Linked DNA regions of Lepisosteus oculatus. The protein of the gene in region 1 purifies or fractionates together with the protein of each later gene. This does not show direct contact. Links are inferred from orthologs where the notes say so. Each region holds a gene or a part of one and is shown in the gene's direction. Other genes may lie near its edges. The genes, in order: hdac6, plaa, myosin-10 and dbt.

Evidence for each region.
Region 2: the proteins of hdac6 (region 1) and plaa purify together in Homo sapiens (affinity purification with mass spectrometry; 4 studies listed by BioGRID and IntAct, with this or other methods). This does not show direct contact. The link is inferred for Lepisosteus oculatus from reciprocal best matches to the Homo sapiens genes HDAC6 and PLAA.
Region 3: the proteins of hdac6 (region 1) and myosin-10 purify together in Homo sapiens (affinity purification with mass spectrometry; 3 studies listed by BioGRID, with this or other methods). This does not show direct contact. The link is inferred for Lepisosteus oculatus from reciprocal best matches to the Homo sapiens genes HDAC6 and MYH10.
Region 4: the proteins of hdac6 (region 1) and dbt purify together in Homo sapiens (affinity purification with mass spectrometry; 3 studies listed by BioGRID and IntAct, with this or other methods). This does not show direct contact. The link is inferred for Lepisosteus oculatus from reciprocal best matches to the Homo sapiens genes HDAC6 and DBT.

Annotation. Positions count from the first base shown.
Region 1 is NC_090697.1:75,338,343-75,345,788, reverse strand, and holds the start of hdac6 (histone deacetylase 6), read left to right. Parts: upstream 1-4,127; 5' UTR 4,128-4,243; intron 4,244-4,997; 5' UTR 4,998-5,031; coding exon 5,032-5,115; intron 5,116-7,446.
Region 2 is NC_090696.1:33,098,585-33,106,538, forward strand, and holds the start of plaa (phospholipase A-2-activating protein), read left to right. Parts: upstream 1-4,900; 5' UTR 4,901-5,013; coding exon 5,014-5,162; intron 5,163-6,679; coding exon 6,680-6,873; intron 6,874-7,954. UniProt on the Homo sapiens protein: Plays a role in protein ubiquitination, sorting and degradation through its association with VCP. Involved in ubiquitin-mediated membrane proteins trafficking to late endosomes in an ESCRT-dependent manner, and hence plays a role in synaptic vesicle recycling.
Region 3 is NC_090704.1:43,882,039-43,889,716, reverse strand, and holds the start of myosin-10, read left to right. Parts: upstream 1-4,454; 5' UTR 4,455-4,623; intron 4,624-7,678. UniProt on the Homo sapiens protein: Cellular myosin that appears to play a role in cytokinesis, cell shape, and specialized functions such as secretion and capping. Involved with LARP6 in the stabilization of type I collagen mRNAs for CO1A1 and CO1A2.
Region 4 is NC_090704.1:19,332,078-19,340,140, reverse strand, and holds the start of dbt (lipoamide acyltransferase component of branched-chain alpha-keto acid dehydrogenase complex, mitochondrial), read left to right. Parts: upstream 1-4,922; 5' UTR 4,923-4,980; coding exon 4,981-5,031; intron 5,032-5,760; coding exon 5,761-5,887; intron 5,888-6,011; coding exon 6,012-6,087; intron 6,088-8,063. UniProt on the Homo sapiens protein: The branched-chain alpha-keto dehydrogenase complex catalyzes the overall conversion of alpha-keto acids to acyl-CoA and CO(2).

The DNA of each region.
Region 1 (7,446 bases):
CTAGAACACAAACCAGCAGGAGTGTGGGTCACCGGGGCAGGGACTGGGAACCACTGCCTCAGCCCCTGGGGCCCTTAGTTTACTGAGAAATACAAACAGAGGAGCTAGAGACGAGAGAAGATCATACAGCCTGTTTGGCTCCTTTGTTCAGAACTGATCTCATCCAGCCCATTCCTGAAAGCAACGAGAGTATCAGACCCAACAGCATGGGTTGGGCAGCTTGTTCCACACTCCCACCACCCTTTGTGAAAAGAAGTGCCTCCTGTTCTCAGCTTTGGATGCCCTTCCATGGAGTTTCCACTGGTGTGAACTCCTGGTGCGTGCCTCTCTGCTTATTCTGGAGAAAACCACTGGCTTTGACTCTGTCGGTGCCTCTGAGGATTGTGAATATTAGGTTCATGGTGCAAATCGACAAAGGCTGGGTTCCTTCAGCCTGTCAGTGCAGGACTTTCCCTTCAAGCCCTTGAATGTTTCTGGATTCTCTTCTCTGGACTGACTCCAGATACCTTTTCTACAACCTGGTGACCAGAATTGTCTGCGGTTATCTAAATGAAGTCTTCCTGGTGTGTTATACAATTCTAACATATATCTCTTGATTTAAATTCTAAAACAATGTGTTCTGATGTACTCTCTGTCCAACACAGCAGTGTTCTTATTCATTGCAGGGCTATCTCTAAGCACCTTCTTATTTTCTTATTAACTCTTTCTGCGAGAAAACGTTTTGAGACAGCCAGATGTTGTTGGGCAGTGAAAAAAAAACACCTTTAAAAATAAATCTACAAACGAAAAATAGACTGAAAAACAGAAATAAAAAATGATTTGCATAGTTCGGTTGACATGAGTCCCACACAGCACAGGGTCAGCGAGGGAGGGGACGAGGGCTGTGGGTTGTGATGGCTCTATTTCAGGCTTCTGCTTCAACCCCTGAAAACCGATGTGTCAAACAGAGAGAGAAACAGCTGGCCAGCTCCTCCACTGCCCCCACAAACACAGAAATGGCCTCCAGGCTCTGAGGACAGTCTCCCTGCTGGAGCACGGTGGACAAATTCACACTCTGAAGCAGGGGTCCCCAACCCAGGTCCTGCAGATCCCCAATCCAGTTATTCTTACTGGTCACCCGGATTCTCCTGTTATTTGAAGATGAGGAACATGTGTTTCAGCCACTGATCAACTAAGTGAGTGATGTTTGCATGAAGGGCACACTGTCCTTTGAAGGCTGATGGATGTCTTGATATTAATTCCAGATGAGCTCTAAGTTAATTAATTAATTGCTGAGAGCAAAGCACTGGAGCCCCTGTGCTGGTAGAGGCGTAGGGGAATTTGAGATCATTTGAGGTCATTTTGTGTCATTTCTGGAGTCTGGTGTGTATTGACCTAGAAAGCAGTAGTCTTTTAGCTATGCCAGGTGCAACTAGAATGAAAGCCCAAGGAGAGAGGATTGATAGCTTTCCAATGCATCCGGCATTCCCGCTGGACGCCTCTGTGACCGCACCTGCTGAGCTAAGGACCCCTATGCGTGCTTGTCAGCTCTCCGCTGCCTAGAGCTAGTCTCCCAGCTTCCAGACCCCTCTCTCAGACTGCTCCCTCCTCTTCACTTCAGAGTCACCCTCGAGCCAGTCCAGAAACTGCTGCCGGCCCGTAACGGATCCCAGTGCGCCCTCAGCAGATATCGTAGTGTCGCAGGCTGTCTTCCGGTTGTGCCCCAGTCTGGCCACAGTAAATGACATCACTAGTGCTCCGGACTAAGGTGCAGCATCTTCCAGGGTTTGGGTGCTCTTGGGGGTGAGAAGACAGTCCTGGGAAGAGTTGGTGGCAGTCACTGGAATCAAGCTGTGCATTGCTCATCTGAACATCACCAAGACACTCCAGAATGTGAGAAAGCAGCATGATGGGTCTGCACAGGAGGGAGTGAATATGAGGGACTGCAGTGAAGGAAATCGGGGTGCCCCAGTAAACTGGGGAGCTGTGGGGGGTGAGGGAATCCAGTCTGGCCTGCAATGGCATTGCCTGGTTGCCCACTGGAGCCCTGCTGCCTTCCTCTGTCTCTTCTCTCCCGCCATCTGTGCAGCTGGAGGCTGGAAAAAGAGGCCTGTTTCTCTCCAGCGCCCTGACAGCTGCTGACCACATGCTCTCCGGTTTGACGCCTTGGCTGGAGCCCCATTGTGCAACGCAGCAGGCTTCTGGTTTTCCGGACCTTCATGAAAAAAAGGCCACGCAGGCACGCTGAGGCACCGTTGTGTGTGCGCGTGGAGGGGGGCGGTGGTTTGGTTTATTCGTTTATCAGCACGGCAGACGGGTCGGGGTTTTTGAAAAAAAGAAATTCTGCCCTGCGGACAGGGTTATCTCGCGGGGCTCGGGAAGCGGCAGCGAATGAGGGCGAGAGATTAGCAACCACAGCCCCGGGCCCAGCGGACACACGGGCCCATCCGTTGGAGCCTGAATCCGTCTCTCCCTCTCCCGCTGTCTGTTACAGTTGCTGTGCGCTCATGGCCCCCGCTCCATCCCTTCCTACACCCCCTCCCCCAGCGGACGCAGTGACTCCGTCTCTCTCTCTCCTCCAGAGTGCTCTACACCCAGAGCCCCCGCCCCGCCGGGCTGGAAACAGCTGGGGGTCTTGTCTGGCCCCCGCTGCGCCAGGAGGAGGCCGCAGTGTGGTGTGGCTCTCGCCTCTCCTTGCAGAGAGCCAAAGAGGGGACAAGAGGGTCCAAGCCCATTAGACTCTGGGACAGGGGGGTATAATATGTCTAAAAGGGCCCAAAACAACTTAGCAGCTACTGTACAACCACCGCTGGAAAAAAAAAAGGTGTCATGTTTTTAGCTGGAAGTAGCTGGAATTCCATCAGGGAACTATTTGCAGGATTAATGGTGGCTGAAAATAAGCAAAGGGGATGTTGATGCGAAGCTGATGCATCAATGTCCCTGTGTGAGGGTCTTCTGGATGACCCCTGCAGGCCAGAGGTCAAGGTTCAAGGGTCAGGGTGGCCAAGTCTCTCTGCGGACAGAGTCGCTGGCTCTCGTGGGTTTTGTTCTGACTGGGCATAAGATGACTTTTAAAAGCATTCTGCTTCGATGTAGGATCTGGGCCAGGATTTTTCTGTCTGTGGGCAATATCCAGTTCAAATGCACGGACACGTCCAGGAGGGAGGGGAAGGGGAAGAATTAACAGTTCAAGAGCATGAAATGTTCTTGAAAGGAGGAAAATTTCCAAAGACCAATATGGTATTCAAGTTCTTAAATGTCTCCTCTAAACAAATAATAGAGAAGAAGAACACGAAAATGCAGAAGGGAGAAGGGCATATTTTCTTTTCCTCTATTTTTCCGAACAGACCTCTATTGCATCAGATATAGAGCTGTCTGGTACTTTTGTGTGCTTATAAGGGAACAAGGGCCTTTGTGTGGAGGGACTGTGGCCTGCCAGTCCAGTCCCCAAGCTCTAGTATGAGCTCATACCCACCCCCCCAGCTTCCTCACGCCCACTGCTGGCCTACCCGACCCCCCAGGCCTTATCACCACGCAGGGCCGGCTGCTCTCTGCTCTCCCTTCAAAGCCTGGCTATCTCTTCCATCGCAGTCCCGGCCTGTTCTCAGACTCCCTGCCTCTCATGGGCTGCTGTTGTGTAACAGTTACTGCTGGTAGGAGGCATTAGAGTTTGGGAGGGGGAGTGGGGGTGCTGCCCATCATCATGAGGTCTGCTCTGCCCTAACTTTGCACCAGGATGGGCTCTCCATTGCTCTATCCTGATGAAAAGCATGTTTATAGGCCCCTGCAGTGTAGAGGGACATTTCTGGCATTGTTACGATTAATACACAACAGACTGTAGCCACTAGATTGGTGATTAAGGCTTGTGGCGAATTCTGCTGCAGAGTTGCAGGATGTAGTTTGGGCGACATCTACCGACCGTTAGCGGAGCCAATTACAATTTGATTCGGACCTGTTTTTATTGGCTTGACGAAAAAAAATCCCGCCAAAAGCTTCACATTCGCAAAACTGAATGTGACAACACCCTATCGTTTATTTTGTAACAGTAATAAAAGCTGCCCCCCTTCCCAGTTATGTGACACCGTGATCCGCGTCTCCAAATACCGAGGAAAACGGTAGCATTGCGAAGGTGGGTGGTGTGACGTCATCAGCCTGCGCCCCGGTGGGTGTCTGTCTGAGGATGGAGAGCGGCTGAGCGCAGCGACTTTTGAATGAAGATTGAAGCATCTCGACAGTTCATCTGCGATTTGAAGAAAGCACACCTGTAAGCAATTCAAACTATAAAACAGTACACTGTTTCGGCTTTTCCGTAGGAGCGTAATAGAAAATGTCTCTCTTGGCGACAAATCGAGAACTAAAATGTGCAGTCAGTTCAGAAAAGGTCCACTTGAAGTAGCTTAATTAACTTCCCACTTAGCCGTTACAGTTTCTTTTCGAATACTGTTATTGATGATTGTCTTTATTTGGGTTACAACATGCACGTAAATATGTGGCTATTAGCCGCAATTTCAATCTATTTTTAATTATTTTAAAACTCGTGTGGCTTTGGCTACAGTAGTAAATGAGTACAGCAGTAACACCCCGGACTGGACTGTTTAAGATCGAGCGCTTTTGTGTTCCGCCTTACAGTAACGAATTTGAGAAGAATTCTACAGACATATTCAAGTTATTAATTCAGTAGGAAGAGTCACTTGTGCTGCCGTTGAGTGAACTTTATGTTCGGTTCTTTTGTAACGTGGCCAGACAGTGTAATTCAAACTCTGGGAATCTTTCAGAATGTTTATTTTCTGGTGGGAGCGTAATGTTGAAATAATAAATAAGTTTTTGTTTTTTAGCTAAACTCACAGACTGTCATGCAACTATAGGAAAGGAAATCCATGCTTTGCCTCAGAAACTAGAAACTACAAACTACAAACTGTTATACAACCCACGCAGAAATGACCCCCTATGAGTCATCAGTGTCAGTACGTGAGCTGCTGAATGAAAACCCTGTATAAATACTTTTAAATGCTCTGCAGTCTTTAACCAGTGCCTGAGGAAGTTTGTCCCAGCATGGATTCCATACCCAATCCCGAGGAGGCGGGGTCTCGTCGAGGCTCCTCCCACTCCCCCAAGTCACCAGGCTCCTCATCCAAGGTAGGTGGGCGTGGCACAGTCTGAGGAAGAGGTGTAACTCAGGGGAGCCCATCATTCTCTTAATAATTTCTCACACAGTGTTTATATAGCGCTTTTCTTGACACTTCACTCAAAGAGCTTTACAGGTAATGGGGATCCCTTCCACCCCCACCAGTGCGCCAGTCCACTCCCCACACAGCAGCTCTCAGAGGGGAGGAGAGCAGAGTGATGAAGCCAGTTCAGAGAGGGGGGTTATTAGAAGGCCATGATTGGTAAAGGCCAGGGGGAAATTTGGCCAGGACGCCAGGTTTACACCCGATCTCTTCAAGAAACGTCCTGGGATTTTTAATAACCAAAAAAACTCAGGACCTCGGCTTTACGTCTCATCCGAAGGACAGCGCCTTTTTACAGTATAGTGTTCCCGTCATGGATGGGGAGTTTTGTGCTTGATCATGTAACGGCTACTCTGCAGTTTCTCATTGTGGTGAGACAGGGCTGTGTAGAGTGCACAGTTACTAATTAATTCCGATGACAATTAGAATGTGAAGGTCAAACTGAGGGAGGTGGCTAGCAGGGGACTGTGTGGGGGCGTGTCTGTGTGAGCCCCTCTCATTGGCTCTCCCCTGTGCCCCTGCCCGACCCTGGCTGATGGATAGCTCTGCCCTTCCAGACGCTTGCTCATTAAACGCTCCGCTGCTGTAGAGGCACTCTGCCCCGAGACCTGGTGGCCGAGCCACGTCTGGCCCGGGAGGCAGGCCCAGGTAACTCCAGGACGGAGCTCTGCCGGAGAGGGAGTGTGTGAAGGCGGAGCAGGTGGAGAGGGCAGGGGGTGCACGAGGCCCAGGAATGAAGGCTGCACAAAGTACAGGTGGCTGAGAGCTTGACCCCTTTCCACGCAAAGCCCCTGAGAAAGATTTAAGGATTGAATGCTGTTTCTCGCTGACACAGGTGCCGGACTTGCCTTTTTCCCAGAATTTGGAAATGCTAGAGAATCTCCTGGTTTCTACCCTTGTAGAAATCGTTTCCTACAATCTCATAACGTATAGGTTTACAATAATGAATACAGTATCTTGTCAGATTGTGTTTGTCGCTTGGATCCAGTGACGTCTTTCTCCCCCCCAGGCTATCTGATACCTATGCCATGGTTTCATAGTTTCTGTAGGGGACACACGAGGGCTGGTGTTTGCGTTTAGAAAGAACAGTGTTCCGTGGGGATGCTCCACGGTTGAAAAAAGACGGCACAGTGGTCTAGTCATGTAAAAATAGCTTTCGGGCTTCTGCACGAGAAGGGCTCCAGTGCGCTTTCTCGCGTGCCGTGTGGTTGAAGCCGATACTGTGGGTTCTTTTAGAGAACAGCTGGATGAGATCCTGGGATCAATTAGTAACCGGACACAGTAACGCCGGCATTCCTCCTCATTTCTCTCCTTTGGTAAAGGCAAGTAATGCACCTAAAGTTGATGTGTTTATGTCATGTCAGTTACATTTTACGTTGTAATTACATTATATCAGGGCTCTTTGATGGGGTGAGGTTTCCACTTCGACCCCAGCGTACTTGAGCAGGAGATTCAGGCACTGAGAGCAGGAGCGGGTTTCTCTTGGACACAGAGAGGAGATCGTGGGGCAGACTGCTTGTCCGTATTGCTAATGTGGGACCGGACTTTGTGACCTCTCTGATCCTCTCCTGCAGTGGCAGCACTGCACTGAGGGTGGAGCTGAGGCCAGGTCCAGCCCTGCACCAGCTGCACCAGAGCACCAGTGCGTCACTGGGCACGGTGCCAGTCATAGCCCTCGGCGCTGTAGCTGTGTTAATTTTTAAATGTCATTTGGCTGTGGTGCACTAAGCCGGAGGGGCAGGGGCGTGTAGCTCAGGTGTGTGTCTGAGACGGAGCTGTTTAAAGACGCTGTGATCTGGCTCCACACTCCACACTCTGCTCTCGCCCTGTACCGCCTGCGGACCAGCGGAGATACCAGCCCTGCACTTCGGTCAGCCATCCAACTCTGTTCAGTCTTTTCTTTTTCTTTGCATTTTTTCAGCTTCATTTGACTTTTTTCCCCTTTCATTTTTCCTGCTTGTTTTTTTTATTTCGATACATTTAGTTCAGTGCTCATTCTGTTCATCTGTGTATCCATTTACCTGTCGGTCTATTAATCTTGTCTGGGTGCAATTACCTGTCGCTCTTTTAATTCTGTCTGGGTGCCAGCAGCCGATCTCGTGTGCGGAAGGCGTGAAACAGAAGATCGGAATAATAAAGAAGACTGCGCCGTGTCTGTCCGAGCTCAGTCACATTATGTGTCCTGTGGTTTGGTATTAATAAAATGTCAACGATTAATGGCTTGTGCAAGGGGTTAAGG
Region 2 (7,954 bases), on another chromosome or scaffold:
ACTAGTCTGAATTCTGATCTTCAGAATTTGGAGGCCTTTTATATGGTTGTATGAGAAATGGTGAATCTGACATTCATTTAGTGTTCTTTAACAATCAGTTAGCTTCTTGTTACAAAAAAAGGGATGTGTGGTGACTAAAGACGATATCGTTGCACTTTACGAACCCAAATAATTTGGAAAATGAAAGGTTTCTGGGACTGTAAAATAATATTTCTTATGTACATTGGTTGCTCAGTTTATGCCTGATTCACTAAATCATAACTTTAAAATTCTAAGTTTCAGAATTTCTCGAATTCGAGCGGCCTGTGTTGCCTAACCAACTGGACTTCTGCAGAAAGAAAAAAAGCTCAGTGTGGGAGCATCTGAAGAGTTCTTCATTCACAGCTATGCTTCCTCATTATGAACTGAAGAGCTATTAAGACCTATTGAAGACGAACGGCTTACAGCTGTGCTTAGTTCTGTAGTTAAAACTACAGAATGACAGCACGAACAATTTCATCACTCTAATAATGATCAATCAATATAAATTATTCAATGTAATGTAATCACTCTGACTAATAAGCAGATCAATTAAAGCCATCAAATATTTTATAAGTATTCAAACTATTTCTGTTCTTACCTCGATTTCATTTTGTCTACTACGAGATACAGTATAAGTAAGCGATCTGTATATACTGTATTTCCAAAGCATCATAATATGACGGACACAAACTCCAAAACCACTTTGTTATCATCATCTTAACTATCTGCAATGTTATGCTGCATTGTAATAACTGTACTAGTTTTGAATAAGATCGAGTTAAAGATAAATACAGCACGGTATATGTGTTACCACAGAATTATTAAACTGGGAACCCAACACTTCAAGCCACATCTGACCTCTGAGCGATCTATACTGTCTTGTTGAATAACAGAAGTAAAAAGGCGCCGTGAGCACGATTCGGGCTGCCATAACCGATGATCCCATGTTGCCAGTAACGAATATATATAACGATAAAAAATATTATATAGTATTTTAAATATATGAATATAATATCTTTGCTCATTCTTAATAATAACCGATGTTATTATAATAACAGCCCAGTTGCTATTTGTTTCGGGTTTACGTTGGCAACTACTGTTGCGACCGTACCTACAAGTATTACTTAATTTCCTCAAGCAGTTTTCGCTGATTAATTAGCTAAATCAAACAATATTTAACCTTTCGTGTTTGCCTTTTAACCATTTACGCAAATATCAACGTGAAGATTTTCTTTTTAATCTATATTTCGAAATAATCGACAAATATCTTCCAAGAACTCGCATTATGATATTACAAAATCATATTCAATTACTAAGCTACCCCCTAACAGCGTTGCAGCGTTTGTATATTTATGGCTGGACTTCACCTAACATTTCATTTTTTTGTAAGGGAATCAAATATATTCTACCAACCTTCATTTTTATGATCAGATTTTTAATACAGTAATTCGATTTTTGAAACATCAGTATACCTCCACTTACTTTGAACTCTGCTTCCCGACAGGAATCTGAGGTGCTCTTCCGTGTTTGGTTACACGACCACCCTTTCAACGGCAACGTGCTGAGGACAAAACACACATACATTGGAGGCTGTCCAATTGCGTGGAAGTTGCTCAATATATTCAGTGGCTCCAAGTTAAAAGGATTGGCTGAAAATCAGGTTTTTCCTTCTGTCAAACGCTAAATAGATCGTGATTTCTGATACAGATACCCAGCTGAATTCTTTACACGTTAGAAAAACCAGTTTCACTTCTCTTTTACCTTTCAAAATCCATGGTGTACTGTATTTGTTCGCCTTTTGTGAGTACTTGTATTTTGATACTTCTGAAAAGATTTATTCAGATTTCCCTCAAGAATTAGGGAAGTTATTCATAGCGTTCTGCACGCACACAATGTAATCTAAATTCACGAAGCCACCTTCAATCTTTAAGAAATTGTCTCATTAAGCAGGCTCCTGTCCCCAGTTTTTCATTTAAAAAAAGACGATGTATACATTTTGCAGATAGATTTCCTCAGCTGCTAACGTGAAACTACTAATCTTTGTTATGGATTGTACATTCACCTCTCAGTCAGTAACCAACACAGGAGTCAGGTAATCTGCATGGTTATCATTTGTCGGTTATTTTAAATATGAAACCAATGAGGTTGTAGATGAGGAGTGTATAGTTAAAACATTAAAAGGTTACAAACAAGAGGATGCCATTTGGCAGATCAAGGCCATTAGTAGGTAATTGATCTGAGAATTTAATGCAAACATTTTTCAACAACATGGCTGGGTAGCTTGTTCCAGACTCCATGATTGTGTATAGTACGTAAGATGTACTATATACTGTATTTTCTAACCTCTTCTTCCAATATCAGACAGGATGGACGAGACACCAGTCCATTGCAATGGATACACAGACACACACTGACACCAGGGCCAACGTTCTCAGAAACCAATTAACTTACCAGTCATAATGCTACCAGTAGTGTTTTTGGACTGTGGGAAGAAACTGGAGCACCCAGAGAAAACCTATGCAAGCATACAGAGAGATGCCACGCAGATAGCATCCAAGAAACTGAACCCAGGACCCCAGAACTGCAAAGCAGCAATGCTTATCAATGTGCCACCTCCATTTTATACATGTTTTGGAAAAATACAATTCTATATATTTTTCTCCCACCCATTGGTGAACTATCCTTCTCAGTTAGCTTTAACCAGACTTACTCCTTCCTCTTCCCCACCCTATTTGAAGGGAAGGGAAGTTTGCCCTCTTCCTCTTTACGGTCGTATTCATCTCGCATATGAGCCTCTGTCTCTCTCCTACTCTAAGCACCTCACCTTCTCTGTAACTAGCATGCCCATGTTCTACTTAAGAGCAATAAACCAGAGAGAGCCTGCAGGGAAAAGGTAGAATCGCTGTAATGTATAAAAATGTTTGTGTTCATTTGATTAATTTATCATTCATTGCTCATTACCTATTATATACTCAAGTGACTGTTGTGTATGAAATAGATAAGCTCACGAATGAGGCATGACGTGATTTAACCTGTCCAATGTCAAGCCTGTTGAAAAAAAAAGAAAGGAAAATACAGGAATGAATCAAAATACACCATTATAGTATTGAGAGAACAACACCTTTGCGCCACCTATATTTCGGAGGCCACCCAATGATGCCCACCTCTGCTGAACTTGCCAGTTGTGGAGCCAAGTTCTCTTTAGCAATGGATGAAGGTTTCCTCCCTTCTTATCCTGTTATAGATGAAATATTTAATTTTTGAAAAGACTGACCATCCTAAAGAACAACCGTCAGTGTGATGCAGACATGCAGAACACAATGGTTGTGCACAATGGACTACTCAATGGGGTCCGAGTGTGATGGTCTGGGCAGGGCAGTCTAGTTACTACTAAACTCCACTTGTAATCATGGATGGCACCCTTACTTCATAGAGCTACTTTGATCAAGATCTGGGATCTCATTTCCTACGAGTGTATCCTGATGTGACATCATCCCATCAGTATGTCCTCATGCTGCTTATGTAACAGCTTTTCTCGTGAGATGAGATATGCGAGAGGTATGCTGTGGTGCCCTTCAAGGCAAATGTGAGCGCTTATGAACAGTTGTGGCCTGTGTTGGCAAGACATTGGTATGACATGAGGTATCTGGGTTCAGAGACCAGTGAACTGGCACATGCTTCTTTGGGCTTTATGAAAGGAACGGGACAGAATTTTACAATAAAGCATTACCTTGTTTATGACAAATGTTAATCAGAATCACAAATTGCCCATGAATGGTCTGCTCAATCAAATGTTACAAATGTTCATTGCACAAGGTGACAACTTTATTTCAGTGTTGTTAAACATCACTCACAGTAGGCTAGGCTGATGAGGAATGATAGCCTAGGCTCATAAATGTTTATTCTTCATTTTCTCTTTTTGAAGTGGATTTCTCCCCGGATGGAGACATGGAGTGCAAATTCAAACAAAAATAAGATAAAGTATTTGATTATTGGCATGCCGTCAATAAGGCCAACCATAGTTCATAATTCAAGGTATAATCCATTTTCTTATTTTATAACACCAACCTAGTATCCTCATCAGCCTAGCCTACTGTGAGCGATGTTTAACAACAGTGAAATAAAGTTGTCACCTTGTGCAATGAACATTTGTAACATTTGATTGAGCAGACCATTCATGGGCAATTTGTGATTCTGATTAACATTTGTCATAATAACAATATTGTTATTGTCATCCTGTAAAGCGCTTTGAGAAGCCACCTTTAAAGGCGCTATATAAAATAAAGTTTATTATTATTATTAATAGTACAATATAGCTTTTGCTTTGATCTTTCCACCGGGAATTTAAGTTTGACTAGTTTCACTAACAAGTGCCATGTAAGTTTGGTTAATGCATCAGGAAGAACTTTGGTGCTTAGCACGCAGTCTTATGTCGCTAATATGCGAATACAGTCCATGTAGTTTGTTAATTGTTTTGTGAAGTGAACAAATTCAATAATACAGTATTCTATATTTAAAGCGAATCGCGTTCTAAATCAGTGTAATCCACATTCAGCCTCTATGCATGGTATTTCTTTAAACCGGTGCATCAATCACACCCCATGTGTAAACCGCAAACTTTCGAAAGTCTTCGTTTTTAAAGTAATTTGTCGTGTCAACCGAATTCCGTATTTTTTATATACCCTCCCAATATGGCCGAACCCGTTTCACCGGTTTCAAAGTCCTTTCTGATTTTTTCGAAACACGCCATTTTTATTCTATTAGCAATCATACGTAATTTAATCTCAATGTACATGTCACTTCAAAATTGCGTGCGTTACATAAAACTATCATTTCGATTCAGTTATTTGTCCCGTCATGCATTGTACCGTGAGCGTCACTTCCTTTTCCAGCCGCACAGGGCTGTCAAGGTGCTGTGTCAGTTCCTTATTTGGTACAGACTAATAATACTTATTTAAAAACGTTTTCTCTTGTTCTTTCGTGTTTATTACTATGGCATCCCCCAGCACTTACCGGCTTAGTTGCTCCATCCCGGGACATGAAATGGATGTCAGGGGGTTGGCAGCAACTCTCTTCCCGGACGGAGCCTTTGTCTCGGTATCTCGAGACAGAACTGCCAGACTATGGATCCCAAACACAAGGTAAATTGCTCACTTTGTGCTGAAGTAATGTTTCTGCGTTTTAAAAGTTTTTTCAGACTGTTTATCTTTTGGTGTTTAATAATTCTAAAGTCTTATTTTCACTTTCGATATGAAGGTGTTCTTTAAGTTTTATGGTAAACGATAGATGACGATAATTTAAAAACAAAATGCTATTCTCGTAAGATTTTGAGTTCGTAAGCGATTGAAAACAATAGTGTCTTTAAACTTTCTACCGGTGAAGCTGAGCCATTTTTTATCTTTAACATTTCACTCTTCAGTCAGTACCTTAAACCATTACATGGATTGGTTTAATACTGAACATTATTTCATTAGATCACAAAGGTATACTTTGAGTGAATCATATCGTTGAGATGTTTGTAAATGGGGATCTCAATCATTTAGATGCTTTTCATTGATATTTCTCTGATTCTCTTAGTCGAGTAGTAACATCCGGTTGGCTGTATAGTCATCCTTTTAGTGTCAGGACCTTGTACAGCTGTTCTTCGGAGTAGTAAGAAGGAAGCTGTATTAGACAATTCCATGAAAACATCTCACAAGTCAAGAAAAGGCTCCTTACATGTCTTGTTTTAGTGAGCCTGAACAAGGGCTTTACAATTTTTAATGATGTTTAAAAGTTATAACCATTTATTCTTTTCATCGTGCTATTATTAAGCTCTTAAACTGTCTGTTTAGAAGCTACGTTGAGTAGTAATTGTAATTGCTTCTGTACATACATTTTTTCCAAAGGATCCCAAAGTGCTTCATATTCCACCACTGAACTGTAGTTTTTATTATGCACAGGCAGCCCTGATACATAACAGATCAGCTGGGGAAGCAAGAAATTAACTTCATCAATGAAAAACATTAGAGAGGCCAGGTTATGCAAGTCCATGTGGAATGTAGCCTGGACACTGGGGTTACAAACCCTACTCTTATGAACTGCCGTGAGATCTTAACTGAGTATTAAATCAGGACCTCAGTTTAATGCAAAGGATGGTGCCTTCTACATCTCAGTATCATTATACAGAGGTGTTGATTGGGAAATTCTGATCTAGTAGAAAGAGCATCATCTACATTTCCACCAACACCATTTACAACAGCATCTTGTTTTCTTTAGCGATCTCCCATTGCAGTGCTCAGCCTCTTAGATCTAAATAAGATCAGGATCAGGTGATAGTGCCACTGCAAGTTGTACTAACACAAGCTAGTTGCTTGATTTTAGAGTTGCTCAACGTGTTTAGTAGCCTCCATTTTCTTGGCAGGTTGTTGTATCTTGTGTTACAAAGTAATCAAGGAAACATGAAGCAAATCTTCAGTGATAAACATTAATCTTTGCTCGTACAAACTAAAATCTAAATCCCCTCCTGCAGGGACATTCATAAAGTCTTATGTCGAAGATTACATGACTGCTCATTTACTTAAACTGGAATCTTAACATTAAAGATGTTGATGATGTTCATTGTTTTCTTGTTCTTTGCTCTTAACTTAATGCTTTTATCATTTTTCTGTGTGTTTAGTCCAAACAGGGGTTTTACAGAAATGCACTGTATGAATGGTCACACCAATTTTGTGTCATGTGTGTGCATCATAGCTCCCAATGATGCCTACCCTCAGGGCCTAATAGCAACAGGGGGAAATGACCACAACATCTGTGTTTTTTCATTGGACAGACCCGACCCTCAGTACATTCTCAAGGGTCATAAAGGCACAGGTAGGTGGTTTCTGCTATTCCATTCATAGAAACGTATTGGAGAAAATGAGGTTTGCCCCTGTCCTGGAAACATAGAGCACAAGGCAGGGCTGACAGCACACAACTACTCTTCTCCTGGAGTGAATGTTAGTTCATTGCAGGGTCATGGTGAAAGAGGTGATATAGTATAGCAAATCAAGCCTCACTATTATTAGTTTAGATGATGCAGCTCCCAGAAAATATCCATGCAAACCCAGGGAGACCATGCACACTCCACACAAATGGTGCCCAAGCCTGTAACTCAACTCTGGGACCCAAGAGCATAGCCAGAGCACCAAGTCACTCTGTAGCCCTACTGATTTTGTGAAAAAGAGAAATCTTAAAAGCCTATAAAGATTACCTGAAGCATGGTTATTGCTAATGGAAACTTTTTTTTTGGATGTGCTATAAAATCAAAAAGATGTATTTAATTTGATGACTCCTTTAACTAGCACCCTGGAAACATATGTGTAAAATATTACAACTTCATTCTGTTTTAGTAGTGAAAGGAAAAACCATGTGTGAACACGGCTTTTGTCTTAATTTTATGAATTTGTATTTGTCTTTAGATGGTGTAAAAGTATATGGCTTTTCCTTTTGTAGACTTCTACTATATATTGGCTTCTTTGTCATTTGGGTTGGCTGCCAGTGTCGGTTAAATTTTATTATACATACTGTTTTTGTTTAGAACGTGAGAGACACAAAAGCACTGTGCTTCCACAGTTATTGACAAGACATTTGAATGCCATTACATTCTTGTAAGAAAATGAATGGTTCCTAGGGAAAACGTGACAACTTCTAGTCAGAAAATAAAGTTTATAATCCAAATCATGTCCATAATTGTTAACATCGTCTGCTCTAAATTGTTAAATTGGACATGAAATTGGACTCCACAGTCTGCTATGAAACCTACTCTTTTAAATAGATAAAACATGCCACCTGACAGGTGGAACTTGGTTTGTTTCTAGGTCTGATTGTTTCATTCTTCATTACATTGAACAGTGTAAGGTTTAAAAATATCTGCATCAAATTACCGTTGCTTTCAAAGGGCTCTTGTATTACA
Region 3 (7,678 bases), on another chromosome or scaffold:
CTTTCATTCCTTGACTGTTTCTTATTTTTGTAACACATTAAATATATGTGTGTGTGTGTGTGTGTCGGGGGCTGAGCGTTCGGGTATTAGCATGTATTAGACTGTCGATTACTGTAGAGAAACAGAACTACAGAACCTTACAGGCCTTTACATTGTTGATCAATGGCACTGTAATATTTTGAAATACATGCCAGGATTTAATCAATTCTTGCCACAGTAAGGCAGAGAACGTAAACACATTTTAAAGCTTTTAAATATATGTATTTAAACTCACACTTTGGCTCCTTATAAAGAAAACTGCAATACAAATCAAAGATTTACAGTAGGTATTATCTACTTAAATGGCATAGGTGTCTAATGGTGTTTGTTTCTGTGCTCTGTAGTGTGAACAGTGATGTAAAATGTTGCTTTCGGGAAAAAAGCACGTTTCTGGCCCCAACACTGTTGCTATGAAACCCTGTCTTGTCAGGTCTAGGTTGAGTTTAAAAATATATTCAATGGAAAACAGCCAAAAGAAAGTGCCTAAGACAGCAATTTAAAATGTTTGTTCATAATGGCATGGATCACCAAAATTTAATTGTGAACATTCAAAATACAACTCTGCAACTTCTTTGAAGTGAAAATGTAATTAAATTTTCAATGCTTTGAAAAATCCAGTTCATTACATCACTGTTTTATTCTTGTTTTCTTTCTTCAATCAAGTTCAATTAAGACTTTAATTTAGTATTCACATCTGATTTCTTATTATGGACATTGCTTCCAAGGCTGTTAGAAAAGTGTCAGAAAAGAATCTGTCATGAAATTAATGTCAAAATACGTGCTTTAGCAGAAACTTTTTAATCCTTTTGCAATTTTTTTCAACAAAAATATATATTTTTTTTATTTGTACTATATTCTAGAAGTGATGTGGAAATTCTGTTACAATTCCAGGTAACACTTAAAGAGCTGAGACTGGGTTTGGTGAAGATTCCATATTTTGGTTTAGTTAAAATGATGTGAAGTCCCCATGACAAAGGATTGTTGAGATATACTGTAATATTGCCAGGTTGTAAAAACATTTTACAGAAGAGTGGTAAAAACAGATCTACAGTATGTACAATCTATGGGAAACTGTGACAGTTTAGCAAATGAAATAAATGCATGGTATATGTATAGTCAAATACTATAGACTACTAGAACTCTGAAAATAGAGTGCCTGATAAGTCTGGTTAACTTCTTCATGGGTTGGTTTGATTACTCTTACTTTGTGAGAATACTTCCAGTCACTGCTCAAATATTCCTTAATACTGGACAGATCATGGAAAGTGCCATTAAAACCTGCCTGACTCTTTGGCTTTGACTCTACTTAGACTCCATAGAAGTGTAAAATTAGGAATTCATTAAGTTGTCTTTTTCCTTGTAGTGCCAGTTCTGCACAGAACGAACAAAGTTCTGAGTTCATGTACCAGGAATACGTTCAGAACTTAATCCTTAGCTAACGCAATTTCTCTTGGAAAACTTGGTATGTGTTTATTATACACTGTGTACTTTATAGTTTTCTCCGAAGTGTGTGAAAAATGGGCGTTGAATGACCAAAATTTTAATATTTAGCTTCATTAATTTTTTTCTTGTTTGTTTCACTATATGTTTTTATACGTAGGATTTCAACAGCACATCATGAAAGAAGCTACAGTATGGGCTTCTTTTTCAATAACTGAATTGTTCATATTGTTACGCATTTTACCTAGCAATATATTTGAAAAATCATTTCCACATGAGAATGTCATGACAGTAAGATCATTAAATGTGCATCTTGAAGAATTATTCAATAAGTATCTTGAACTTATTTGAATGAATAATAAATAATAATAAACTTTATTTTATATAGTGCTTTAAAGGTGGCTTCTCAAAGTGCTCTACATTACACTAGTAAAAAATGCACATCATGAAAGGAGACAGCAGAATTACATAGTTGCAAGAAGGTTTTGTAATACAGTGGGAATACAAAGGGGCAGACACAGAACAAGATAAATAAAAGTCTGTCTTAAAGAAGAAGGTTTTGAACACTGGGGAAGGTGGCTCTGATATCCTAACAGATTGAATTCCAGAGCTTTAGGGAGCAGAAAGTGAAGGCCCTGTCACCCATAGAGTGCAGATGGGCTTGGGGGACAGATATGAGACCAGAATTAGATGAATGAAGGTTGTGAAATGAAGCATACCATGTACTACTCATTCAATACTGAAGCAGTACCTGCTGTTTCTGGAGCAAGTGGGTTTTACAATTGCACCGCATAATGAAACTCTCATGAACAAAAGCTGTTTACACTACTGTATGCGTTGTTGTTCTAAGGACGGGTTCACGCAGTGCTTAAATGTTGTGTTATAGGGAATGATTCTGGTTCGTTGAACTGTATTTTCAAATCTGTTAAATATTTTATATTAGACTGACCTCTGGTGGTTATAAAGGACACCAGAAAACCTGCAATGTAAAGGTGAGTGGAGCATGAATATACAGTACATACAGTATTTAAAGATTATTACACATTCAAACACAGTGCTTTTATAGAGAAAATAGTCACTTTAACTGCTTTTACTGTATGAGGAAGTGCTTCATGTTTTCTGCCTTCTTGTATTAAAAGCAGCCAAGCCGAAAGCTGAATACTGACATCAAAACGGAGATTTCACCACATATAACAGGAAGTACGTCTTTACACATGGGTTTGGAGCCTGGAAGAAGATACCCAGTTATGCAGTTGAAGCTGATAACCTGTCTGTTTTTAATTAAACAGATGGATGAGATTCTTGGATCAATTAGCTGCTAATAACCAAACTATAGTAAATGGGCTGAATGGCCTCTCGTTAGTAATGTTCGTTCTGTACTGTTATTAAAGACGTGAAGAAGCACTGTGAAACTATACAAGTGCCTTGTATATGAATACTTTTTAAAGCACAGTATTTAAATCTGCATTTAAATTGTCATTCTGCAGACAGAATGGCCGAAACACAGCACCAGTCTTCTGCTCATGGTCATAATCAGTATTTTCAATTTTCAGATCATTGAAATTTGGCAGGGGTCTCCAACCCCTGCACCCTTCACAAGAAACAGCTGGATGAGATCGGAGACCCAATCACCTCCCAGCAAGCAAACAAGAGAGGTCCAGATGTACCCAAAAGGTTCTCCTCCCATTTGTAGCCTGAGTCAGATCCTTTGCTTACTTGGTGTTTTTGTAAATTACTGCACTTTAGGAGGAGGGAGAACCATGCACTGGGGCTCAGTACCTGGACTTGTTCGTCAGTGGTGGATTTCTCGAACGCCTCTAAATGTGACGGACGTGCAGAGAGGAAGATTAAGGAGCCTCTGGCGCATGCTATCTTAAAGTCCCCCCCCCCCCCCATGTTGACATGGGATCACCAGCTTCACTGTTTCCGTGGTAACCAAGAAAGCAGTTCCGTTTTTCAATGTCCAAAGTGGAGCTCCGCGTTTAGGAGACGTGTGGACGCTCCGATCCGAATCAGGATCGCACGCGGCGGTAACTCGGGATATCCCGGGCCGCCCTTACCCGTGTCCAGCCAACACAGCAGCATAGTCAGTCTGTAGCTCCAGCTTAATCTTTAATCATCGAAGGTAATGTGGAGCCCCGGCGTTAACGCAGCAGTTAAGGAGCAGCTCAGCGCACAGCATATGGGAGAGTTCAAAGTCCAAAGACTGCAACAATGATAATGATATCTCGATGCTCGATACATGCATGTTAATTCAAGGCAAGTAACGGGCAGGGGGGCCTAGGGGAATAAGAGGGAAAGACCCAGGCGCTCCCGAAAGCTAGAGGGAGCCACATGCACGGCTTCCACGTCTACTGGCAAGTCAAACTAATGATGTCATCTCGCATTAAAACAGACAAAAGGCCGGAGTGGGGGACAAGGGGGGTAGAAGCCCTGGCAAACCCCCCCAAAATTAATAAATACACTTTAAAAAACAAAATAAACCAGGCATGGACTGCGGAACCCCCACAAACACAGCACAGCTAGTTCTACAAATCGCGTATCGAAAAACCCGATTGACACCGCCGATCCGCACAGCGCACCGCAACCCCTTTTCACGTGGTCTCTGCACAATGACCTGCCTGGCGCAACCTAGATATCGGGCCCTCTAAGGGGGGAGGGAAGGGCGGCTGAGCTTTGATGGACGTGATCTTGACCACTGGCTGCGGTTCTTCATGCACAGGCGAATCCGCGACACCTATGAGCTGCACGGCAGGTGGAAGACAGCCGCAGCACGAACTCTTCACCGGCGGTGAGGGGGCGGCAGGCGTTCTAGAGGGAGGAGGGGCGGCGGGGGTTGCCTCTTTTTTTTCTAGCCAATAGGCGCTCTTTACGTGAGGAACGTCTTGGAAGCCGTCCAATAGTGTTACACCTTTGGGCATGTAGGCGGGACTAAGAAAAGGGTTCGGTTGAGGAGTCCGGCTTCTGCGGGGAGGAGGGGGGAACGCTGGGTAGGACAGTATCTCTGGTGCAAAGAAAAGAGAGGAGAGAAAGGCGGAGAGGCAGGCGTATATACGGAGCGGTGCGGAATATAGATCACATTTGCCGAGGAGAACGCCTTATTCGTTTTAAAAGTTGAGCTTGGTTCTTGTCCGACTGCGTCAGGTAAGCTCAAAGGGGGATCTGCGTTATTCCGCGGTAGCTAACGGGATTACCGCGAAGGGATGGAGGTTAATTAGCGTGATCATACTGCATCTGCATTCATTTGCCACTTAAAAACTGATTTGAAGCGGGTTTTCATTGACGCATATTCCCCAAACCCATCGGAATGACAAGACCAGAGAACTATCCGACCCCTTTCCTCTCGAAAACGGATGAAACAACCGTCTGGGCTGCAATGCACAGTGTTGTAGGGGTGCGTTATCGCGGCTACATGGTCGTATTTGTCAAAGCTAAATTCAACTCGTGCGGTTGTATTGACGTGGTATAATCATGTCTTTCGCTGGTGTATTTTTTTTTTCTCCTTTTGGTGGACCGGGAGTGGCGCTCGGGCCAGCATGAAACGCCGAACAGTGGGAAATAATTTCCAAGTGTTGCAAGGGAATAATGTGCAAGATACGTTTCCACATCTTTATGTGGGTAGATAAGAGGAGGTCCCGCTTTTTTGAAAAAAAAAAAATTAAATGAAGAGGGGAGCGTGGTGGTGGGCATCCTAAAAAAAAAAGGGCAATCGCGCTTGAATAACGAGCTGAAATGAAGTGTTACATTGTGCCCGTTAGGATCCGCTGGCGGCTGGGCGGACCTGGAGCAGGAGAGACCACACCAGCGCCAGTCTCGCCACCAGTGCGCCAAACGGCTCATTCAAAGCCCTGGACCATATTTTTACTGTAGTTTATGACCCCTGGCGTTATGCTGGGACCGTGTAGCCACCGAGGTAAACGCGTAGGTTAATCTGGAGCAGCAGCAGCAGCAACAGCAACAATAACAACAACAACAAAACCCCCAAAACAACCGTTTTAGTCACCCGACTCGCCCAACTCTTTTTCTGTAACGCGAGGAAATATCGGGTGACCACGCTAGCACGACGCTAAAAGTCAATGCATGGGTGAAAGGGTTTGATTTCTTTCTTTCTTTCCGTCTCCTCGCACGTCTGCTGTGTCTGAGGCTCTGGTCACTGCAAGAGCTTGGACTTCAGTGGCCTAAGCGGCTGTCCCGGCCTTCGACCTGCCTTGTGCAGTGGACGGGTAGACGTAGCTTTAATGCAGGATTTTCTGATTTTACGCACAGGTTATGCTTTATCGTTTCACCTGAGCGAATTAAGAGCTCTTCCCGTCCGTTAGCAAAATTTGCTGCACCGAAACCTCAGTCTGAGCTGAAATAATGATTGCAATGCGTGCGATTCAAATGAAACCCGTGGAGTTTTTTGTGTGTGTGTGTGCGCGTTCATTCATGACAGATGGGTCAGTCAGTGTGTGTCTGGGAAATGTTTTAACCTGATGGAAACGACCAAGCTTTGGAAACCATAGACGTGTTACCGTCCTGCTTCTAGTCTGGTCTGCCAAGCTTAATTCTGGGTAAACCGGTTCGTCTCTGAACACTGGGACAGTTAACGGACTCATCCATGCGTGGTGTGACGTTTGGGTTAATGAGATGAAGGCTTTAGACATCCAGAGGCAGTTATACCAAGCGATCATGATCTGAACATTAAAGTTTATGACTTCAGCCTTCTTTCTACGCCACAAATGTCTGATTAAAAAATCATAGTTATACAAGTTAATTACATAAAGGAAACAAATCCTGTATATTCGTTTTTGAATGAGATGACGGTTCTAGAGAAATTATGGAGAAATTCTTTGTTGTTTCTGCCTACTTTTGGTCCAACCGTTCTGTAATATCACGTGAAGTTGTAAGATAAGGATAGAGCATTTGCCATTCTGTATGTCTTCACTGACTTGAAATATGCTTTGCCAATGCAGTTTATGATTTTTAGAAAGGAGGCAGAATTTAACATTTCAGAATTGTTTGAATGAATTCATTGAATATTAATTGCATGTAACAGGAAAAGGGAGTGGGTTACGGCCGATTAAATCCAAAAATCCCCTAGTGAGAGATCAGGCTCTAACTTTGGCCATATGAGTACTGTTACATGGTCAATGGATAGAGTTTCTATCTTTAATAAATGCTGTTTGTTAAGGGGATGAAGCATGGCCTCTGTTATTTTTCAGGAGCAGAGTTCCAGTTTGCTTTAGGCTCTGATCCCCGTCATTGGAAACCACCAAGTCGCTGAAATGTTTGTATAAAGTGTGAACAGGTGTTCGGCGACAGTAGGGCCAGAGCTGTGTAAACTCTGGCTGTAATTCATGAGGGACGTCAGCCCTAGACAAATAAGAGCTTTAATGCACCACCGTATATCCCTAAGTATGGTTTTCTTTACAGTATAGGTAAAGTCCTCAAAAATAAAAAAATCTGGGGTTGTCCGGGTTTTGAAGGCACAGTTTGTGTGGATCAGTTAGGTAAAGGCCAGAATGCCTTGTTATAGGGTTCAAAATCGGGTGGGCTTTGCAAAATGGAGCTGGAAATGTCCTCGGTTAGTTTGTGATGGACTCGTTTGACATTTTTGCTCTCTCCCACTTGAACGAGCTCTGTGTTAGCCTGGAAGGCGTCAGGACCGAAGACGGCGTGCTTTTAAATGTTTGTGCTCGGGGTCTGCGGTCTGTTTTATGTAAGGGGGCAGTGGGGTTAAGTAGCTGCCCTTGTTGTTGATAGCGGTGTCCGATTCGTGAGCCATTACGGATTTATCGGTTGTTTTTCCTTCTGCGTTCAAGGTATTGGCCGTGGTTTGACTTTCCCGGGATTCTGTCGGCTGCCGTGAAGGAGAGGGGAAAAGGATCCGTTAGCAGTGTCGAGTCTGTGACAGTCCAGGCATGTGCAGCCGGCGGTCAGATTACAGTCCCGGTGACAGTGAAACGAAACAGACTTCCGCTTTTCTCAGCATGTGGATGGAGGCCAGCCATCGATTAGAAGCTTTAATGGGGGGGGTGAAAGTCAGGATTGCTTAACTTCGGAACAAAAATGTGCTTACGGCATGGATACTGGGATTTCTGTCCTCTCTCCAAAAAAAAAGAAGTCATCTTTCTAAATTCGTTTCACTGTGGGGCTGGGGAAGGCTCATCTTCAAGCAGGACACTTTCCTCTGCGCTGCTCTCGATTGCGAGGAGGC
Region 4 (8,063 bases), on another chromosome or scaffold:
ATAGTTTTTTTATTCGTATAAAATTGTTTAAAAGAAATGCCAGAAAAAAAAATATTGTTCCTATATTATCTCAGAGAAACAAAACATACCAACGAGAAACATAACGTTTTGGCTTTGGAGCCACCCGAAGAAGGCTCCACAGCTGAAACGTTGTGTCTTTTCTTCTCTTTTCAGCATGGAATAAACCTTTAATTGTTCCTCTGCAGCCTACACATGCCGACTCAGCTACCTACTTGAACTTTTTATAATAATAATAATAATAATAATAATAGCTTACACTTATATAGCGCTTTTATGGACACTCCACTCAAAGCGCTTTACAGGTAATGGGGACTCTCCTCCACCACCACCAATGTGCAGCATCCACCTGGATGATGCGACGGCAGCCATAGTGCGCCAGAACGCTTTCCACACATCAGCTATCAGTGGGAAGGAGAACAGAGTAATGTAGCCAATTCATAGATGGGGGTTATTAGGAGGCCATGATTGGTAAAGGCCAATGGGAAATTTGGCCAGGATGCCGGGGTTACACCCTACTCTTTTCGAGAAACGCCCTGGGATTTTTAATGACCACAGAGAGTCAGGATCTCGGTTTTACGTCTTTACGCTGCTCCAGGTGAGGTAGGCTATTTCAGCCTACTTCTGTTGCAACCCACCATGACTTCTGCTAAATCTTTTTCTAGATCTCTTCATCATTCCTTCTCCTCCTCCCTCGGCTACTTGTCCTCTTCTCTCACCGAACCAGCATTCCGTCTCTTCGCAGCGATCTGTTCCAAGACCAGGCTTTCTAACCACCTCCTATTCCTTTACAGATGTCATCGACATAATGTCATTCCTAAAGGATTTCATCTGAAATGTAACACTTTTTTTCTTTGATTCTGACACCACCCAGAGTAACACGCAAAGACTTCTAATAGTCTTCTAATTCTACAACAGTTTTTGAGGAAACTTATGCTTTCTATTATTTTCTCCTTCAAACAGATAACCCTTTCTGACACACCCGAAGAAGGCTCCACCCCCAAAACATTGTGTTTCTTTTCTTCTCTTTTCAGCATGGAATAAACCTTTACTTGTTCCGCAGCTGCCTACTTGAACTAAAATGTACCAACTGTAATCAAGGTAACAGGAGATGTTATTCAGAAACCATTGACAAAACACTCAAGACAGGGGTCATACTCAGGAAGTATTTCTACAGTATTGCTGCATATTTAGTCATACATTTGCAGATTATACCAAATTAGGAGGACTACTAAACACTGTACATTTGGGAACCCTAAAACATTTGCCAGAAAGAAGAAGTTGATATTCAGAGTTGAGGATGTGGGAAATGATCTGATAAAAATTTTCCTGCCTGTTTGATTATGTATTTTTCAAAGATTGTCTGCAGGGAGGGGTGCTGTTTCACCCCCATGACCTTCAAAGCTGTCTGGATGAGGTGGGTAATTTGCGATTTAAAATGAACTGATAGATTACCAAACCACACTGAAATACCATATCTGATAATGCACTTGATTACAGCATGGTAAAGGAGTAGCATTACTTCCTGTCGAACCCCAAACACTCTTAGTCTTCGCAGGAAATATAAGCGCTGCTGAACTTTGGAGCAAACACTCTCAACATGAGTAGACCAGCACAGGTTACGGTCTATGTGTACACCTAAGTACTTGTATGAATCAACCTGAGTGATACTTTAAGTTCGTTGTGGATTACTACCTGTGAGTGATCACCAACTGTTCTGGGATCGAAAACTATTTCTTTTGTTTTTTTAGCATTCAAAATTAAGCTATTGTTGTCACACCATTGCACAAATCTTTGGATTTCTGACATGTATACAGGTGAGCTGCTACCTCTATGCATTAAGCCAAGAACAGCTGTATCATCTGAGAATTTGAAAATGAAGTTGTTTTGACTACAATCATTTGTATAAAGCGTGAAAAGAACTAGAGAGCTAACACAGCCCTCAGGGGCACCTGTGCTAATAGATCGTGACTCAGAAAGAGTTTTGTTGACCCTGACATACTGTCTGCGATTTGTTAACGGACATTTGCTTCAACTTACTTATCAATAGATGGAGCTGCAGCATTTTAAATGCAGAGCTGAAGTCCACAAACAGCATCCGAGCATAGGCATTGGGGTCCTCTAGGTGTTTTAGAACAAGATGCATAATTGTTGATTGCATCATTGGTGCCCCGCCGGTGTTTATATGCAAACTGATATTGGTCCAGTACAGTGTTCACTTCTGAGCACAGCATGGATACTATAAACCTCTCAAAGCATTTCATCACAACAGACATCAGTGTTACCGGCCTGTGGTCATTGTTATCTGAGGGACAGGGCTTTTTGGGCATAGGCACGATTATTGCTTTTTTCCACAGCGCTGGAAGAGCAAAGAGAAGAGCAAACAGAAACATTCTGGGGCTGAAGGGGATGTCCTCTCCTGACAGGCTCAAAGGCTCAACAGAAAAGACTATGAGGAGACCTAATACAAGAATTGAGTATATAGCACAATCCTCAAAGGCACTGAGTGTCAAGCATTTGAATTTCTTCAAACCTGGGGTTAGAAGTGGAAGTCAAATGAAAGTTTATAACCAAGAAGGGGAGGCACATCTTTAACCCAAGGGGTGTGACAGTTTGGACCAAGATACCCATCCATGTTGTTGAAGCTGATACCTTGGTGTCTTTCAAGAAATGGTTGGATGAGATCCATGGAGAAATGAGCTACTACCAAATACACAAGGAGAACACACTAGCTCCACAAATTAATTAAGATTTAATTATCGTATTAATACTCTCCTGAAGTAATTTAATTGGTTGGACACATCTTAAATCTGACTTCACCGAGATTAGAACTACACTTCTATCAGAGCAATGGAACGATCATGTATTTTTATAAGGGCAAGCCTGCAGACCTACTGCTCCACCTAGAGGAATTAAATTGTTCACCTAGTTCATACCCAAACCCATTCACAGTATACAATATTATTCATAAATAGCTGTAACAGGAAATTAATACTAATTTCTTTTAACTAACTAAAATAACAAAAGAAACAATATTGCTACCCCCTTTTTATCATTTAAACTTATACTTATATACTTAAACTTATACTTATAACTAAGTATAATAAGATAGTATTATGTGTAGAATATATAGTGCTCTTCATTCCACAGGATCTCAAAGTGCTCCACACACAGGAGGGGACCCACTTCACTCCCCAGACAGACCCACTGGGTGACACAGCTGCCTCACTGCAGAGTAGAGAGAGAGTAGAGTAGAGGTAGAGAGAGAAAGAAATTGCATCAATGGTTGCATTAAAGAGGAATTTTGGGCAGGCCAAATTAGTTCAAGGCCAGAATGTAATTTAGAGAGGACACCAGGTCACAACCTTGCGCTTTCCAACAGTGCCTTGGAATCTTTAATTAAAGGTCAGGATGCCTGTTTAACATGTTATCTGACAGTGTCTCTGGTAAACATACTGGTCACTGGTATTATGAGGATATTGTAAGAAACCTTCATTTCATGTTTAACCTGAAGTGGAATTAATGAAGTAATTTAATAAATCAATGTAATAAACCTTTGGATGTTCTGGTCCCAGAGGAAGTAGCACAACCTACTGGGCCACTAACACTATTTACAGCAGCAGACTGGTATTCAATAGAGGCCCGCCTTCCTTGTACTGACCAGTCCCAGTCTGTCTTAACTTCTGAGGGTTGGGCAGATCAGGGTAGAAGGCGGTAACACTGCTATCAAAGTCTATGTTCATATTGAAATAAGAATAGATTTTATTGACAACTTCTGGAAGTTTAAATCAAATTTCAGAACTTGTAGAAATACAACATTTATATTCAGAAAAATCAGAAGCTACAATAGAAATTAAAAGCTTTTCATAGAGGTCCTCTAAAAAACCTTTTTTTTAGATTTTTATGATCTACCACTAGAGTTAATAACAATCCTCAATTAGTACTTTAATATATCAAAACTAGAAATATAAACATAAGAGAGCTTAAAAATGAGAAGACACTTCTCTGAGTTGATTTTGTCAATATCTTTCAGGATTGATATTTACAGTATATAAAGTCTCACTGCAGTTTTCCTTTTCAAGACTAAAAAGGCTCAGTTCCTTTATTGTCTCAATATAACATGTCTTTGGGAAAATGAATTAGCCTAGATACTATTCCTTTTAAATTTTTCCAGAGCAATAGTATTTGTTTCTGGTGGGGTGGCCGATATTTCATGCAAAAATCTAAATTAGTTCTTGTGGGTTTTGATATAGTTTTGATATATGGAGTGGCTGCAATACCCTCTATATAACTATAGAAGGCATTATCATGAGGATGATGTGTAAATATGTTAATTTAATTACATTTTATTTGGATTTGACACAAAATGTATACAGCTGGGATTTTTAGTGAAGCAATCTAAGTAAAGTACCTTCCTCAACAGTACAACAGCAGTGTCCTCTCAGTATTTACTTTTAAAATATAATTTCAAGGGCAAAGTGTTAGGGGAAGGTATAGCCCACCAAATTCAGATATGAATTATAATATAATGCAAATTTACAAGATGAAATCCAGGACAGATGTGATTTTAAGGTAACTTTATATAATGACAGTGATAATCTTATCTGAATTTGTAACATACAGGCGGTGGTAGTTTTACATTCCTGAGTGTTTCAAAAATGGCATCTCTACTCATTGAGAGCATGTAAATCAATAATCCTCAACAATAATTTATGTAATCTTACTTGACATGAGAACAGTATATAAAATGGTACCACGTGAGTCACTGAGTCATTGAAACATCTTGTTCTAAAACGATGTAGTGTATTTTCAAGGGTTTCCTTCACCAACATGACCACCCTCCTACTTCAATCGAGTGCCGTCGCAAGCCCCGGCCCCTGAAACGTGCTTTTTGGTTGGCCCTTGCAGAGGGGCGTGATACTAGTCGTCAGTTCCGAGAGAGCCTCGGGTTTGGGGGTAAAAATGGCGGCGGTGACAACGATGAGAGCCTCATTCAGGTTTATGAGAAACTTGGTAAGGTTGCATTCGACTTTAGCCATTTTTAATAGTGGGCAGGTTGCGTGTCTGTTTCTTTCTTAGGCAGACAAGCCGAGTCTCTATCAGCAGTTGCATACTGGTTAATAATGCTGGAGTAGCGCTCAGTCACCTAAGCTGGACAGAACCAATTGCAGCGGAGATATCTCAGCTGTGCTCCCTTATCTGCTTTTTCAGTATCAAAAAGCACAAATCTCATTAATGTTTCTTGAACACGTAAAGACATGTCTCGTAAGACTCGTTGAAAAAAATGTTTTCAACACTTACCAGGTATCCAGTAAAGGAGGTTATATCATCCTTAAGTGTTTTCAAACAACTTTTTTCGACAAAAAAACTAAAACATTGACTGTCTCCTGTAATAAGGTTTCTCCCGGTTTACGTGTGCATGATAATACCGAACACGGAAATTACTTTGATTTTGGTACCCTTGACTAGTCCCGTGGTCCGATTTTAAAATTTGAATTGCTGTTGAGCTGTTATTGGACGTAAAATGCCAAAGGCCCAGTTATAATTCTGCAATTTCCCTCACGGGATCAATAAAGTATCTATCTATAAATGTCCTTGGCGGTCACGCTGGGCACTGCCCAGAAGTATGAAGAAGTATGACCAGTTCTTCAGCTGATAACTTACTGGTGCACCCACTGGTTTCAGACCACAATACAAATGTCTTAAATGTTTGCATGTATAATTCTAATGTTTGTTTTCCAGCGGTGTGCACACCAGTACAGATCTTGCTGTTCAAAATTTCAGTCTGTTAGACCAGAGTACAAATACAAGTTGCCTCACCTCTCGGTCGCTGTCAGCACGCAGCACCGGTACTTCAGAACCTGCAGTGGTAAGTACCGTTTAAATTTGCTGTTGTTTATATAGGCGTTAAATTTAGTCTTCTTGTACATTTTTTTTCATATTAATATGTGTTTTATTGAGAGATTTCATTCTCTTATCTTCCCCTTGTGCAGTTGTTTCTGGACCAATTGTACAGTTTAAGCTGTCAGATATAGGAGAAGGTATTACAGAGGTCACCGTCAAGGAATGGTAGGTGGATCTTTCTTTGTCTTGCAACTGTTTGCAGCAGCCTCTAAATAGCATTTTTTCTTTCCTGATTTAAGCAGCAACAGTTATTCATGTAATTACCTGTATTAAGCAATTATCTGTTGGAAATCGTGTGTTTATTAATTTCACTTATCTTATACACAGCAATTTTTGAGCCCTTTTAACCTGAATGTTGTGGGTCTTGTGTTGGTGTGATGAGTGCTGCTGTTTTGGCTCCTCTGCTGTGGCACAGTTGTACACCATCTAATTTTTTTGGGGGTGACGTTACATCTGTGACTGTCTCAGAATTATTGAATGCTGCACTAATTAGATGCTTCTTAAATGAGCGTCGGAGAGTTTGTGAGGCATGTAAAATCAGCATTAGTTGAGTTGAATGGTTTGTGCCAGGCAGTGTTTTTAATATTTTAACATTGGCATCATCTAGATATTCAGGTGGGTAGCTACGTCAGCATGCGTAGGCTGCAAAGGAACAAGTTTGGCCATGTGACACCTGATGAAGGCTCCTCGGCCGAAACGTTGTGTTTTCTTTCTTCTTTTTTTCAGCATGGAATAAACCTATGACTTGTTCCTTATCATCTAGATATTAACAGTTGGCTTGTATGTGGGCATTCATGTTGATATTTCCACTCCCCTGGCTTGGTGTATACTAGTAAGAAAAGATAGATGCTTCAAGGGGCCTGCCTCAAAGATTAATCCCAGTTTATATCTTATCAACTCTTAGCAGTTAAGAAAGCCTAGGCCTGGTTAGCACTGGCATGGAAGTCGCTTCCGAGTTAATACTCCTTGAATTGCCCCTGAACTGGTTATATATAGTAGCCAATCACATTGCACTTAGGCAAAAGCCCAAATGAGCATGAGAGCATACAAACACCACACAGATAGGTGCCCCTAAATGGGATTGAGCTCTGGCTCCTGGTGAGGTTGTAGGGTTAATTTCCAAACCAACAATTGTCCAAAACCACTGTACTCAAGGCCCTTCTTGAAGATGTTTTTATGTGTGCAGAATCCATAGCAGGTGTACATTGTGAATCATGAGGGAGCTACCTCCTACCTGTATTTTGGGATCTGGCAAGGTTAAAAAACATTGTATAACTAAGTCACAGTGCTTAAAACATTAACAGTACAAGGACATCAAATGGAGCTTGCTTGCCTCTAAATCAGGAGCATAGTGATCCGGGGTCGGTGATTGTGGGTTATTCTAATATCTAGGGATGTTCTTTTAAATTAGTACACTTCACGACAAGAAAAGTAAAGAACCCCAAAACAGTTCTCACACACAAGAGGTATACCTTTGCACTGTTGTTTTTACTATTGTTCTGTTTCTGTTTTAGTATTGTTTAGTATTGTACAGAACTATTGTTCTGTTTCTATCTTAGTGGTGAAAGCCAGCCCCTAGGCCACACCATGTAACCCAGAGACAGCACATCAGTAGTTTAGGAGTGCTCCCTTACAGTAAAACGTCATCTCTTTTCTTATGTAAATTGGATATTGTTGCCATGCACTTGGTAGTTTTATTGTGGTTTGAAATGCCCTCATTATTGGCGGTTCATTATAACCCCAAAATGTAAAATTAGCGTTGCAGTTCCCCTTTAAGCCAATTGTGTCCAATTTTCACTCACAGAGGAGGCCTTGGCTGAAGCCTTGGCTTGCACTTTCATAATCTTATGAATATTGAGTTTGAAATGTTAGTAATGTTTTTATTCTGTTGAAATAAAGACTTTGCAAATCTTCATATATATGTATAAAATCTTCATAAGGGAGCATTCCCTTAAGAGCTAGAGATGTAGTTGACAGTGGAAGCATTATGAAGCCATAATATAAACAGTCACCAGATGGCGCTGTGATCAGTAATGTAAATGTATTACTGACTGTCAATACACATTGACTCCCCAGGCCACCCTTTATTAAAATACATTCTGTTTTCTCTGAAATGTATGCTTCATTATTAGTATTTTCCA